2 linked regions of the Drosophila melanogaster genome follow. The gene in region 2 interacts genetically with the main gene of each other region. Each region holds a gene or a part of one and is shown on either strand. Other genes may lie near its edges.

Region 1 (6,702 bases), on a different chromosome or scaffold from region 2:
CGCATTATTTCCACACCTTGCATGCATTTTAATTAGCCGACCACATAAACGGCCTAATTAGTTTACAATTGAAAAAGACAAGTGCAATAATCTGTTGGCAAACAGAATTTGCATAAATATTAAATCAGACAGCAACATAAACAATTTGGCGAGCACAGAATTAGTAGCACCAAACCATTTTCATTCTGAAAACTAATCCCGGTATAAGGACTAATCGCCTACTGATGGCAGTTGAAGGATTCGGGCTATGAAAGAAGAAACCACAGACCACCCGACCACTTAATCAGTGACGTGAGCTCTGCAAACTGTCAGCTGCAGTTTCCGCCGCAGCAATCCGCAGCAAACCGCAGCAAACCACACGTGTGACAGCGGACCGCAATACACAACCACTGGGCAAAAGGCGATTAAAGACATTTCAATTTAATTGGTCATTTTTCGATACACAGCAAAAATAGCCATGCAGTTGCTTAAATGCGGATCAGTATAAATAAAATTGCAGTTAAAGTAGGTGGCTATTAAAGCAAGTAATTTGATTTAATAAAACAAGCTACGTTTAACTTAACTCAGTGAGCATATTCAGTAGTCTGACTTTAATTTATTACAATTATTTCCGTCGCTTGCATTTATATTTATTCAATATATCTGCTATTGCCAGATTTACGGATTGTGGCTAGATATTTGCAAAATATTACCTTAAATAGTACGTGTATGTTGCCGCCACAAGTTTGCCAATTAAAACAGATATATTCATATACGGCATGAAATAAATTTGTTTTTACTGGAAAATCGGCAAAAACCGCTGCACTTAGGTGGCAAAAGCCGTGTGCCGAAAGTTTTCCGTTTTCCCGGGAATGCAATTAATTTGCATCAGGCAGGATGCTCTGCTGCTCCTCGAATCCTGCATATGGGCAACTGTGATGCCGAAACTTTGTGTCTGTTTGATAAATTGTATCAAGTTTGCCGCCTACGGTTGCAGTTGCTCCGGGTGCGATGCACTAGCAAATTGCAGCTAATGGAATCTGCAATTGAAATGAGGTCCTGCAAGGACGACGAAACATTCCCAAGCTGCTAATTTAATGTCACAGTATCTGGCTCTACTCATTTTGCACTTAAAATGGTGGCACTTTTACATGAAAATGAAATTTGATTCCTTATTTTATGAGGCATGAATTCTTATGGCTAAAGGGATTTTTGGTGTAACTTAATGTTCCTGTGGGTGAATTTAAAAATCTTCCCCCCAATTACTCTGCGTAAAATTTTCCAGCATTTGAGTGATGTCCTTCCTTTGGCAAGGAAAAGTTTAAAGTCCCCAATGGGAAACGAAAATTGGAGTTTGCAGCTTTTCCACTAAGCCGGCAACTGGCAACTGCCAACTGCAGTTTTAGCCAAATGAAAATGGCAGGGACATAAACTGAAAAACGAGCTGTTGAAAAGAAATGCCAGCACAGAGCTATGAACGCTTTCATCCTGCAATTTATTGCCAGCTATTAGTATATGTGTCAAAATTTGTTGGCTTTAATTGAAAATGAATCGCTCTTTGGATAACATAAGTGGTTCTCCTTTTTTTCCTTGGCGTTAACTCAATTCAATGGATGGTTTTTTAATTTTTGAATTTTCTTTGGGTCTCATGAATTATAAAACATAACACGAGCTTTTCCGCTTTTCATATAATTATGGCCTTGATGGAAGTGAGTTCAATTCGGTGTTTCCTTTATCTAAATTATCCGCGGTAGGCCATGGAAAATTTCCACAAAATTCTTAATCAAATAGTTGTGGTTATTATTTTGATTCTACAAGTGCCGGGTAATTTGAGACAGAAGTCAAATAATAATACAGCTCTTACCGAAACAATCAATCAGTTCATAATGACAGCTCCAAATGCACATTTAATAAGGTATCGTATTCTTATTAAATATTAAATCTCGACTTTGGCTGTCAGACGAAAAGTTTGGTAAATTCGATTTCGTTTTAGCCGGCTTTTCCTCTCGTTGGGTCAAGAACCTCGTATTTGAAGCAACAGAACGAAAATTACAGGCTCGAAACAAAGGGCAAAAGCCGTAAAGCTAAGTGAAGTTAGGCTAATATACATATTAGGGTGGACCTTTTTCTTAATGCTAAAAACAGCAGTTGGAAGTACACCGAATAAACTTTGTTCATTTGATCAAAAGAAAGTTATATATGGTCAGTTAGATGGCGGGTCTCTTTTCTGCTTGAGCTCTACTCTAGTCAAATCATATTTTTTAATCACTTCTCAAGCTTTAAAGGTTCACCCTAATCTACGCAAGTAACTTATTAGAAAAAGTCGGTGCGTCACATCCTTTTTTTTTGGCCGAAATGTTTCTTTTTACGACTTGCGTGAGGAAAAGCTTGAGCGATTTGCGGAAAGCAAATATTATATTCATATGTGGAAGTAGTGAACAATTGTGTGACTTATTGCTGGGCATTATCCTGCGGCTCAGTTCCTCGCGAAGCTGAAGGACTCGTCACCAGGCGGGAATCGATTTTGTGGCCTCGCTTAATGGTATTCCATGGGTGATGGCAATACGAAAACAATGCCAACGAATGGTATTGTGTATATTTCTAGTTGCGCTGTCTGTCTGTGTTCCTATGGGGATACTATAGAATCCTGTCTGCCTGGACATATCTGTGTGTGTGTGTGTGTGGGTAGTTGCCCATAGTGACGCAGGACACCAATCAAAGAAAGGATACTACATTGTGGGTTAGCTGGCGTCCAGGCCGAAGACTTTATTAATCCTTTGTGTATATTTAGCGACCACTTTATGAGTTGACTGCCATATATCTTTCTGTTGATTTATGCCAAGTGCAAATTGACTCCGTTTTTTTGTGCCACATTCTCTTTTTTATGGCGGATATAACTTTGTGTTGGCTTAAGCTCGAGAAAATGACCCAAAACGATTGTTCGGAAGGATTAATGTTCTATGCTAACACGTTCAAAGAAAATTAGCTTGACTCAGCAAGTGAATATTTATCATATTTATACTCGCATTTGAAAATGAATGTGATAAAGCAAACATTATTCAAACAAGCTGCTTTAAAATGGTAATCACGAAATGTGTTAATTCATGGGAATTTGTGAGATGATTCAATGTGAATTTATAATTAAAATTAAAATTCAATCAAAATGAAATGCGCTCCCATGGCTTCCACTTATTTTCGATTTCTTTCAAGCTATTTCATTTGTAGCTGAAATGACTTGGCATAATGTTTTCAAAATGTCCTCCCATTCGAAGAAGCTGTCAATAGCTGCTCAATGTTTTATAAGCCATAGCGGCACGAAATCGAAGTAACTCGAAGGACCCAGGACCTCCCACACTTGGCAGCCCAACTCAACCACATCGAAGTGATTCGATTTATGAGCCAGTGGGTGGAGTAGGGTGCCTTTTGGTTCCGTGCCACTCAACATAATTAGGGCCAATGACAATCGAATCGGACTGCAGCAACTGCACCACCACCAGGAGCTTCGTTTCGATTTATTTGGACGCCGTTGCCAGGACAACGGACGAACACCTGGCCACGAGCAAACGGGCACAACAAAACCACTTGGAGAAGGCGTTAAGCCACTTGGGTGTTTCATTTTCCTTTTTTTTTTGTTGCCTTTAAGGGGTGGCACATTTAGAGCGGTCAACTTTGAGGCCAAAAAGTGAACAATTCCGTGTAATGCCGGCTGATGGCCCCTTTTCTGCTGGCGCTGATTGCTATGGGCTGCCCGAGTTTTCCAAGAAAGGAGTGGATTTTCTTGTTTCTAGACCACATTCACGAACCGTCGGGCTGGAAGAGTTAAAAGGCCAGTGCTAACTTGCCTTGATTCATGGTCAATTGAAAAAAAGTTCTTAAAGAATTCTTAGCTAAAGCAAAAGTTTAATACAAGTAGCCATTAAATTGTTCATAAATTTCGCTGTCGTATGTATAGATTGGTTTTGTTATAATATAGGATCGTTGGTTTAATGTGTCCACTTTATGAAGATTATCAAACACAATGGATATGAATGACACATTTAAAGAAATTCAAATTTCAGAGATTACATTATCAAAGATTATAGGTTTGGTAAAATCTAGAAAAGATCTGCCAAATTGGAGTGTTGGGTTTACCTGCTGTTCCATTTTCTGATTACGACTGTTGATTCCGGACATTTTTGCAGTTATGGCTGTAGATTTCAGAAGGCAATCAAAATCCTCTGACGATTTTCACTTAACTACGCGCGATTCAGATGATCCGATGAAGAGGCATTTGGCAAATATTCGGGAGTGACAGCTGTTTTGGGATTTGCGTTGAAGAGCGACTTTTCGAATGCGAATGAATGCAGCAAAACAAAAACCGATGGGGCACCAAAATAATTGAAGAAGAATCTATGAATTTAGCACACCTGGCGTCAGTTTGTATGGTATGGTATATATTTTGTAGTTTGTGGTAGTGTAGTACGGCAGCACACGCGACAACAAAAAAATCAAGGGGTGTTCACGAGGGTGAGGATTTGTAGACTGAAGCCAACAGCCGGCTCTTCCTGTTCTCGCTCAATTTTTTTTGTACCGACGCGATCGATCGGAATTCTCCGGATCGCTGGCACTGAATGTTTGCTTTAGCCACTGAGCGAGTACCGCCTGAATATGCATATATTTATAATGTTATACAATCTATGTTGTTTGACAAACACTTTCGTGCCCGTTGAGTTGCGTGTGATATTGTCCAATTGATTGAATTTGGCGCCTCTTTATTTTGGTAGAGGAGAGAAGGCGATGTAACCCGTCGACCGAACCGCACGCTGCCAAAACAACAACTGGGCGTCCAACAGAAGCCGTCAACTCAGGCGAAGTGCTCGTAGCGGAACGGAATGGAAACGGAACATGCACACGAATGCCAGCCGAAGCAGGAGTGCGAAGCATGCCATCCTGTCGTGTGTCAGCGAAAGAGAGGCAGAGAGAACCACAACTCGCTCTCAATGGGAATGGGTCTCTCCCTCTCTCCCTCTCTCTCTCTCTCTCCGCACAACGCCTCCTGTGGCTGCTTCCTCTTCCATTTCCTACGAGCGACAGATGTGCAGCTGCCGACTGCGACTGCATTTGGATTCGCGCCCCCGACTCCCTGTTACTGGGATTTTGGGATGCATTCCCGTACAAAGCATACGCATCTGGCAATTCGATTCCGGATTGAGCAAAAAACCACGCTGATAACAGGATAATAGAGTGTTGAAAAATTATACAACTTTATGATTATGATCCTTAAGCGGAATTTACAACAATTAAAAACATCAATTTGCGTTGTCAACTCGCGCGCTTTATTTCATTAACATTAGACTTATGCTACGATGATGGTGAGTAAAATTAAATAACAAATAAATGAATATAGAGTTTCGCGTTACGGTAAATTCGATTGAAATTGCCTTGTCATTTTTGAGGTTTCTTACACGTTAACTTTGTCGGTTTTTTTTTTGTTTGGAGGCGGAAGATCCCAGGGATTCTAGAAAAACCTGTGCTTTTTCTTCTTCTTGTTCTCCCCCTCCGCCGGCGGCTGGGGATCCACGGAAACCTGACGCCTGGGCAGCAGAGGTGGCGGAGTAACATCCCCAGCTCCAACAGCATCGGCTCCAACTCCATTAGCATCCACTCCATTGGACGCCGGCGATAGAGGACGCGGTGCGCGCAGGATCGAGGTGAGTGGTGGCACCGGGGAGTGGCCATTGCCATTCGCCTCCTGGCCATCCTCCTCGATCCTGTCCAGTCGCGAACCGTGCACCGAGGCAAGCTCGGAGGGAGTCTTCACCTGGGAGCCGCCCTCATCACCAAGCTCGCTGGTCATGTTCATGCCAATGGTGGCGCCCACTTTGGCGCTGGCCATTTTGAAGTGATCGCTCAGCTTGATCTGCACCACATTGATGAACATGGAGGTCAGGGCCAAGCCGAACATCAGATAGATCATGCTGACCATTACGTAGAAGGGATTACTGGGCACCAGGTCGCCGAACCCAATTGTGGACATCGAGATGAACACGTAGTAGAAGGCATCCAGTGGAGTCCAGCTGGGCTCCATCATTAGAAAGCCGAAGGATCCTAGGAGGATGTACGTAATGAGCAGCAGCGAGGCCACCGACACTGGCAAATTGAACTCGTCGTCCACCTCGAAGGTCTCTGGATAGGGTGATGTGGGTGTCTCCGGGTGCGAGGTGCCCACCGATCTTGCGGCCTCGGCATCCGCCTGCGACTCCTCATCGTTCTCTGGCGCAGAGTTGCTGAAGAACATGCTCGGCCTGCGGATGGCCATGTCGTACATCGTATTGAAGCCTGTCATGGCGCTCCGGATCTGCTGCTGCTTTCGTATCCGGCGGCAGGAGCGCGTGTAGTACATCCGTCGCACATACACCCACAGGAACTTGACGCAGCGCGTGAATAACTTGCCCAGATCGGCCAGCACGATCAGGAACATGGGGATGCCGATGATGGCATAGACGATGGTCAGGGATCGACCCATGCCCGTCTTTGGAGTGATGTGGCCGTAACCTGGAAAGGAAGAGAAGAAGGCATGGGAGTTAATAAGTTAAATATGACTAACTAAAAAAAGAACCTAAAATGGAAATATGCTCATATATAAGAACTAACGAAAGGATTTAGGAGTTTTGGATGGTTATGGGTCCATTGTAACCCATTACCTATAGTTGTGATCACGGTCCAACAGAAGATGAAGCAATT
Region 2 (8,234 bases):
GTCACTAGACACTAGGTTCTCACTAAAATCGTTTGTTAAAAAACGTTTTCCAACAGAAGGTACCGGGAGACGTTGAGCCAAACCGGACTGGAAGTCGAACTGCAGAAGGAGGTTTCGAGTCTGAAGGAGAAAATGAGCTTTACTCGCCGGCTGATCTTATACATGGCTGCCGTCAAATGGCAGTCTTTCCGTTCTTGCATATACCACGTGGTGGCCGGAATACTCGATTGTGTGGCGCCATCGTTCACCACACCCCCAATGAAGGACAATTTACTCCGAATAGGCATGGTCGCCATCTTTTTGCTAAATGCTAGAATGTATTGATTTGGCTGAAGGATGCGAAAAGGACTCTGGCTACGCATCCAGGGACGTGCAACGACGAATGAGAAGCGTATTAACTAGGAATCAGGTAGCTGAGCAACACAATACCACAAATTTTATGCGTATATTAGATATATTTCATCTTTAATGTGCCCACGGTTTTTCCTAAACGAAAAACAAATTTCGAATAAATTTTGTACCAGTCTTAAACTTTACATTTTTTCTTATTTCCTTTTTGCTTTAAAATAAAACTAAAGCGAAATAAACTCATAACGTGCATGTCCAAATCCCATTTTTTCCAACTCACTTGATTGCAACATCCGAATGTGACGACTGTCCCCACACATTATAGTTTCGTTGCGGCGGACCGCAAAATACACAATTCATTCTAATTTCGAAATGGTATTCAAACACGATTGACAGTTTGGTAGTGAATAGCCAATAGCCTGCCAGAATGTTATGACTGTTTGTATTTGGTCAATAAAATACCCATTACTTTTGCACACAGCAATGTGCTTTCTCCTCTACTTTGAACTGTAGACTGTAACTCTGCATTAAGTACTTGGGGATTAATTTGTTTCAATAATTAGTAGCCTAACACTGAAATGGTCTTGTATTTAATTAATAAACACTGATCAAGTAGCTACTGACGATATGTTCATTGGACACAAAGAGTGTCGAGTAAATATGATACAAAGTGCGGAAAAGCTTTACAAAAATTACGCATACGCCGTGTGCTCACTTCGAATATTGGCATTCATTGGAGGGCCCAATGTCATCCGAATTACGGAATCGCTGGCTCAACTCAAGCGAGGTGAACTGAGTCGACGTAGGCACAAAGGCCTTAACTCGATAAATGCATAATACAATGCGAACCATAATTGTGGCAATGGGTATGAAAGTGCGAATGGCAATGGTGTTCATTGTATGTATGTATGTATGTACGTATGTATATTGTATCATCCAAATGGATATGCCAAATGGAGCACGGAGACTCGACGTTGGACGGACACTTTTATTAACAAACTAATCTGCAATTAGGAATGTAATTCAGCCCGCTGATATTTTCGCCTACTCATCGACGAATATAAAACTACGAATACCAAACAAACCAAACACCTGCACTCTGCACCCGGGCTTCTATATATAGGCACAAAACAAAGCGATGTTTTTTTTTTTTAGGCACAAATGAAGGGCGAAAACTCCAACGTTTTATCTTCGCATTGGTAATCCTCGGCGATTTTTGATAATTTACGATAATTCAAGATTATTTACTGCATACAAGACCATAAATTGTTACCAAGCAATTTCCATATGAGAGATAACAATACATATTTCCGGAACTGGGAATATGCATATGCACTATCTATTACAAAATGAGGCATGTGCTTGGCCGCCCTTTCAAATCCCTTATAATGCCTGCGACTTAATAATGTAGTCTCTGGGGAATAATAAATATTTTAAAAGCAAGCGATGACTCAGTGAACTTGCAAATGAACTTAAGATACCCCGAAATATGAATGTCATGACTAAGAACTTTTTAATTCACAATATAATCTAAAATCAAACATGTCATTTTGTATGCTACTTCAGTTTATTTTGCAATAGCAAACAGTTGCATCCTTTTTCTCTCAGTGTCCTGATCATAGTTCGTGTTGGCTTGTGTGTTTAACTTACGTAGATATGTATTTAATTAATTGGCTTCGGCTTTTGTTGTTCCTGCTTTTGCTACCTATTTTTGTTTGTTATTCTTGTTTATTTATATTTGTTTGTTTTTTCCCGCCTTGCGAATTTCAGTTTGAAGAGCATTGCAAGATTTACAGTTTGATCAGTCGGCTGTCGCACTCTCTCGCTCTCTCCACGTTTCCTTAAGTTTACTCACAACAGGTAACACTGTATTTGGTTGCACTTGTTTTTTTTATTTTTTGTATTTCAGCTCACAGCCACTGCAAAAAATATGCGATTGCTGTGAAAATGTACACACATAAAAAAAAGAAAAAGAAATAGAACAGGTAATAATAATACAATGGGTAAACATGCGGCAAACAAAACCGAAACTGACACCAAAACGAAACACGTTGCCGTTTCGCTCTCTCTCCGTGCCGTGTTCCCTTGTTTATCGCGGATTATATTATGCGAGCGGACTAACGGGAAAAGCTCCGGCGGACGACCACTGACCAACTGAGAACGGAGAGCCAGCAACGGAGAACTTTTATCTCAAGTACAGTGGGGCCTTTTTGTGCAGACGGATAAGTGCTGATTTAAATAATTAATCTGCATATGAATATATTGAACAAACTAAACTGCTCTATAAATGCTATGAAACTAAACAGTACACATTGATGACTATCCACTTTTATGGCCAGCTATATACGTGCGACGAATGACTACTGTACCGGCGCTCTCTGCTGCTCTTGCCCGCTCTTTCTGCGTGGGTGATGATCGTGCGAGAGAGCAAGTGCAAATATGATTATTGTTCCTTCGCCTGCCGTTCTCCTCTCCATTTCTTCCGCCCCATCATGCAGCCACACACCAATACCTATGGTGCGTTTGTGTGGGTGCGATGAGTGTGCGACGGCGTTCGCTTTAACGGTTTGTTTGTTATTTTATTATTATAGCTTTATTGCACAATCCCAGGCCACCCACCGCCCACTGGCACGCCCCCTTTCGCTCGGTTGCAGTTCAAACAAACAAAAGGAAATGAGGGAGAAGCATAATAAAGCTTCTGATCGCCACACTTGCCACAAAAAGTAAGCTACGTAGAACTACAGTAGAGCTTGAATAATGCACATTTGCAGCTTGGGCGAGAGATGGAAAATATGAGTATTTGCTAATTAACACCTACAAAATTAAAAAGAAAAAAAATGATAAAGCTAAATGGGAATTGGATGATTTAAAGTATTTGCGGCTCAATTTTTTTAAATTTGTTTTGTTTATCGGTCGTAAATCATTATTTTTTTTATTTTGAAATAACAGTGTCGAATAACTCAGTGATTTTACACTAAAGTTTAAATATTTTAAACTCTTAAATTTTTCGAGTAAAATATTGTATTGTTAACAGAAAAGTGAGCGTTTATAAAAAAATATCAATCTTACAAGCGATTCATGAATATGTTGTACCATGTCTTTTGTTTCTTTCAGTGCACAGTGGCTGCGTGGACGTCGACAGAGGGCAAAACAAGTGGCCGTCGTTAGTGCGAGCGAGACGCGGCGACCAAGTGCGGATGGGTGCGAGCGAGAGGGCTGGCGGACTGGCAAATTGTTGTTTGCTCTGCCGACGTCGTTTTTTGCGTGTGTAAATTTGAATACTTCAATTTTATGTGTGCTTTTCCCTCCCCACCACATATCCACACCATCCTAACAACAACAACCAGCACCTTGTGTTCGTGTTTGCGTCGGCGTGCGCGCAAGTAAATTTCTTCTAATTTAATATTTTGTTTATATTATTTATTCATATACTTATGTATTTGCGTAGCCCCTCCCACAACTAACCCTCCTTCGAGCACTTGTTTGTTTATGTATTTCACCTGCTCCTGCTCCGCTCCAGCCCACGTTTCGACCATTTCTTGCCCCTCGTCACGGCCAAGTTTACGTTTTTGGTAAATCATTTACAATTTGGATTTCCGATCGCTTTTCGAAAACCCCCTCTCGAAATATCAACAATCAAGCACTTTGCCAGATGCACAGAAAGAAACTGATGTGATTTCAATGGCTTACTAGCTGTTCGATATTTGATTAAGTTGATGTCTCTAAAGAAGGAAAACGTTTTCCACAACTTTTCTTCTTAAACTCGGAAAGCGATCTGCATGCAATCGAAAACTTTTACTGCAGTCTTTCATTCGTACAAATGCGCTACGAAAATAATTTAACAACTTACACATGGATCACATTACCACTTTTATCAATGAGTAATTGTAAATATTTGTTGAAAGCTATTTGAATTTTTGCCGTTAGTTTTTAGTGATTTATGTACTTAGGAACACACTGAATTCCAATGTGCAATTCCGGCAAATTGGCTACTAAGCGGGCTTTAAAAACTAATTTCGCTTCTGCAACCCTCAAAACAGAGAACTTTTGAATATGCAAATGCAAATCAACAAAAAACAAAAAAACGTATTTTTCGCAATCTGCCTCCTACCTTAGATTCTCCGCAGCTCCTCTCCACCTCCTTTTCACGCTCTTGTCTCTCTTTTGAAGCTTCCTTCGCGTTCGCGTTTGTTTGACTTTGATTCCGTTTGGTTGGTTTGTTTGTTGTTGCCACTCTTTGGCTGTTTCTGTTTTTATGTTGTTATCTCTTTCTTGTCAGCTTCTCTGCACTTTCAAAAAACAAACACTGTAAAAAAAAAATGAGTCTTGTTTACCACGCGCGAGTATGGGAAATTCTCGGGAAACCAACTCGTAAAAAAAATATTTAAAAGGGAAAACAAGAGCAGGGCAAGGCGAAAAGGAGTTACAGAAAGCGCGTGTGGCTGTGATTTATTTTATTATACGGTTTCGCCCACAAAGGACTTCACTGAGCTTTTAGTGCGTCTATGTTTTTCGTTCTATTTTTCCAAGGCTTCAGTTTTTTTACACGGAATTTTGACCGTTTTGTTTTTCGTTTGTTTTTATTTGTTGTCTGTTGTTGTTGGTTTCCGCAGCACAAATGAAAATTCGCGTCCGTTTCGCACGAGTGTTAGTGATGTAAAAAAGCATCGAATGCATTGACCACCGATGTTTCTCGACGATACATTTCAGTGCTTGCGCTTGGTATCGATTGGCTTCTGTTAACCTCAGTGGCACAGCTTGCAGTCTCTAGCACGGACTCAAACCTGTATGTTAACTTTTTAATATTTAATTGGCAGGGACTTCAACCAAAGATACATATGTGAATGACTTCTACTAACCACATTGCATCTGAGAGCTTTTTAGCAATTTCGAAAGGAAGGCTTTAAAACAGAGAGACATAAATGCATCAAATATAAATATAGTAATATTAAATATATACTCATCATACGTGGACACCGATTGTTTTTCAAAATATCCGGGTGAAAAGCTTGAGCCCTCGGGTGGTAATCGATAGGCGCAGTCAGCTGTTCTTCGTTCCTATCGTCTTGCTTGCACAATAATTTCAGCGGCATATTTCCATAATTCACTGCATTTTCCCCATTTACCGAATCAAAATGCGTCTAACTAACGTTTTGTTCAAAAAGGTGAAGAGCAAGTGAGTAATTTGGACATCCAATTTGTTCTTTTTGTTAAAACCAACCGTTTTTACAGGCGCATCATGGTCGTACTGGAAAGTGTGGTCAGTGGACATCAGTTTAATGCTTTTCGCGATCGCTTGGCCGACAAATTGGAGATAATACGCTTCGATCCGTACAGTGAGTGCCGGCCATCACTGACTTTATGCATATGCACTGATGTTGCCCATGTTTCTTTTTCAGTTCAACAGGAAAGCCTTTATCGTGAACGCAAGAAAATCCGCAGCGCCTAAGATAACCATTTTTTGTTAGTGAAAAAAATAAAATTTACAACTATTGGAAACACCAAAAAACAACCGAGATATATGTGCGAATGTGGGTGCTTTATTTTCGGCAGAATAGGAGCATTATAAATCTGGTTACATATTTATACAAAAATATTAATTTACGCTCGTTTTAGATACACATTCGCATCGATACTTAATTCTAATTATCAACAGCAACTCGCTTTCGATTGCCGTCTACTTAAACGGCTTCTCGGTCATAAGAAGACCATGCTCCCACAGGGCGGTGGCGACCTCTATCTTGCGAGCTGAAGACTCCAATGGCAACTGATCAATGGTGAGGTAAAATGGATAGGCCGATATGAGGAGCTCAACGGCTTTAGCTTCCTCTGGCAGAATCTCCATGAAATAGGGCTCGTACTTGCAGTAATCCAGGCCATTGTCCACATGGTGGTAGATACGCACGCTGCCATCGGACTCGGTCACCAGACGCAGAATGTTGGCACGCAGCAGGCGCACGGATGTCTTTTTATTGAATTTGTAATCGCAGACGCAGTTGCCCTGCTCATCGGCATCACTGCGTGCCCCATGAACAGTGCGCACCTCCTCCGAGGGCAATACGATCGGCGGAAGTGCCTCGTGCTGGAACTTCTTGGCCATCTGGTCGACGGCCTCATCAATATCATCTTCGGAGGGCATCAAGTAATTGGTCACCAGCTTCTGCACATTCTCCACCAGCTGTTTGCGCGACCCGCAGTCATTTCCCTTGTAGGCATTGCCCAAAACTTGAAAAGTGTGCAGCGGCAAGCCGCGACGCAAGGCCACACTCCGATCGACGGCCTTCTTAAGAACCATGGGCATTAGTGTCTCTAGAAGATTGGCATATGCCTGCTGTTGGTAAACACTCAAGGTAATGTGCAGCGAGTGCTGTTGCTCTTCGGTGATGGCCTGGTGAACAGCGCCTCTCGGGAAATATAGTACATCGCCGGCGCTTAGTACCTCATCAATTATGGGCTTACCCAGCTGCTCTTGATCATAGTTGCCCGACGAGATCCTGGCCAGTTGATCGGCCTTCTTGGGCGGCTCGTACAAAAGCCAGCGCTTGCGTCCCTCCACTTGGATAACGAAAGCCTCGATGTCATCGTAATGGGGCGCAAAGCCCTGGCTATTGGGTGGGGTTAGGTATAGATTTGCCCCCACCTTGCAGTGAAAGAACTCCTGCAAAACGGTGCACACCTGACGCAAGCGAATTAGATAGGTGGAAGGATTCAGTAAACGAATGCTGCAGCCGTCCGAATAGAAGCCCCACACAGCTGGTGGCAAGGCACGACCCTCGGGATTCAGTGTCTCACGCTTGCCGTTCTTGTAAGTGGTCACATCCACGTTGACGGTGAAGTCCAAATGATGGCGAATCAGTATTTCGTCAAGCATCTTGAATGATATCATACTTTGAAAGTATTTGGGATTAGAGCGCTGCACCAGGCAGGCGGTGTGCTCCCAGAAGTCTTTGAAGAAGACTTTAGTTTGGACCGGAAAGAGTATCCACTGCAGGACGCGACGACCCTCTTCGACGCTGTCGGCTTTGTGAGTTTCTATTGTTTCAGTCTCCTTTTCGTCATTGTTATTATTGCCCTCTTCGGTGGGTTCCGCCTTAATTATTTTAACTAATGAGTTCACGGCTGCTGGGTCCTTTTTGGGCGGCTGAGGACAGGAATTGGCCTCCCCTGGGGGCAGCGATTTGCGCACCAAAGGGCAGGCTAAAGCCGCGCCATTAACCTGGATCGGCGAGGTGCGCTCCAGTCCCAGACTACGTGCTTGCTTGCGTTTGGTGGCCCTGGCTCCTTGAGTAGCTTCCGATTCCTTGGTCAACTTACCGGCTTTTCCGGTATCATTATTGTTGGCATCCGCCTCGGCCTGAAGACGTCGCTTGCGATCTGCGGTCTTAGCGGCTGCGGCTGACCCTGACTGGGTCTTTTTGGATGTTGATGGACCGGCGTCATCGTCGAATAATTTAGAGAAAAAGGCATGCACCTCTTGGTCCTTGGTTACGGCGAGCATATCAGATACCGAATTGGAATCATTCGATTCTTTATCTAGATTGGGCTTCTTCTTGTCTTTAGCTGTGCCGTTATTTGCGTTTTTCTGCATTTTGCTGTTGCCTTGAGACTTGGCGGCCGCGGAAGTAGTCGCCTTTTTCATTTTGCAGCTTTTTTAAACGACACTAGGTCTTAATCCTTAAAGTCTTAAACACTCACGCCTGGCTGTAGACACGTACTTATGAGCTTGACTAGTAGCAGAATGATATTGCTTTTTTTACACATACCTGTATTCAAAACGTTCCTGCACGTGCCTACTGTTACAACTATTATTCGCGCCGGGTTATCGATGATTTCTGCGAGCTGCCGTATCGATGGCATGGGGTAAGTGGATTATAAGGTATGTCTCT

The links. A genetic interaction does not mean that the proteins touch.
Region 1: of norpA (region 2) and ktub, changing one suppresses a phenotype caused by changing the other (phenotypic suppression), as found in Drosophila melanogaster (one study listed by BioGRID).

Annotation. Positions count from the first base shown.
Region 1 is NT_033778.4:21,100,026-21,106,727, reverse strand, and holds the start of ktub (king tubby), read right to left. Parts: upstream 4,801-6,702; 5' UTR 4,153-4,800; coding exon 4,111-4,152; intron 1-4,110. Other genes in the region: CG34396 (uncharacterized protein), read right to left, coding at 5,477-6,513, 6,663-6,702. UniProt on the Drosophila melanogaster protein: Functions in regulating protein trafficking, retinal maintenance and lipid storage. Protects photoreceptor cells R1 to R6 against light-induced retinal degeneration by stimulating norpA-mediated endocytosis of the rhodopsin ninaE (Rh1).
Region 2 is NC_004354.4:4,319,381-4,327,614, reverse strand, and holds the start of norpA (no receptor potential A), read right to left. Parts: upstream 4,990-8,234; 5' UTR 4,460-4,989; intron 4,007-4,459; exon of another isoform or gene 3,814-4,006; intron 2,268-3,813; 5' UTR 1,999-2,267; intron 536-1,998; exon of another isoform or gene 325-535; coding exon of another isoform or gene 57-324; intron 1-56. Other genes in the region: CG12693 (uncharacterized protein), read left to right, coding at 57-324; mRpL33 (mitochondrial ribosomal protein L33), read left to right, coding at 5,484-5,524, 5,581-5,684, 5,748-5,797; NO66 (nucleolar protein 66), read right to left, coding at 6,026-7,987. UniProt on the Drosophila melanogaster protein: The production of the second messenger molecules diacylglycerol (DAG) and inositol 1,4,5-trisphosphate (IP3) is mediated by activated phosphatidylinositol-specific phospholipase C enzymes. Essential component of the phototransduction pathway.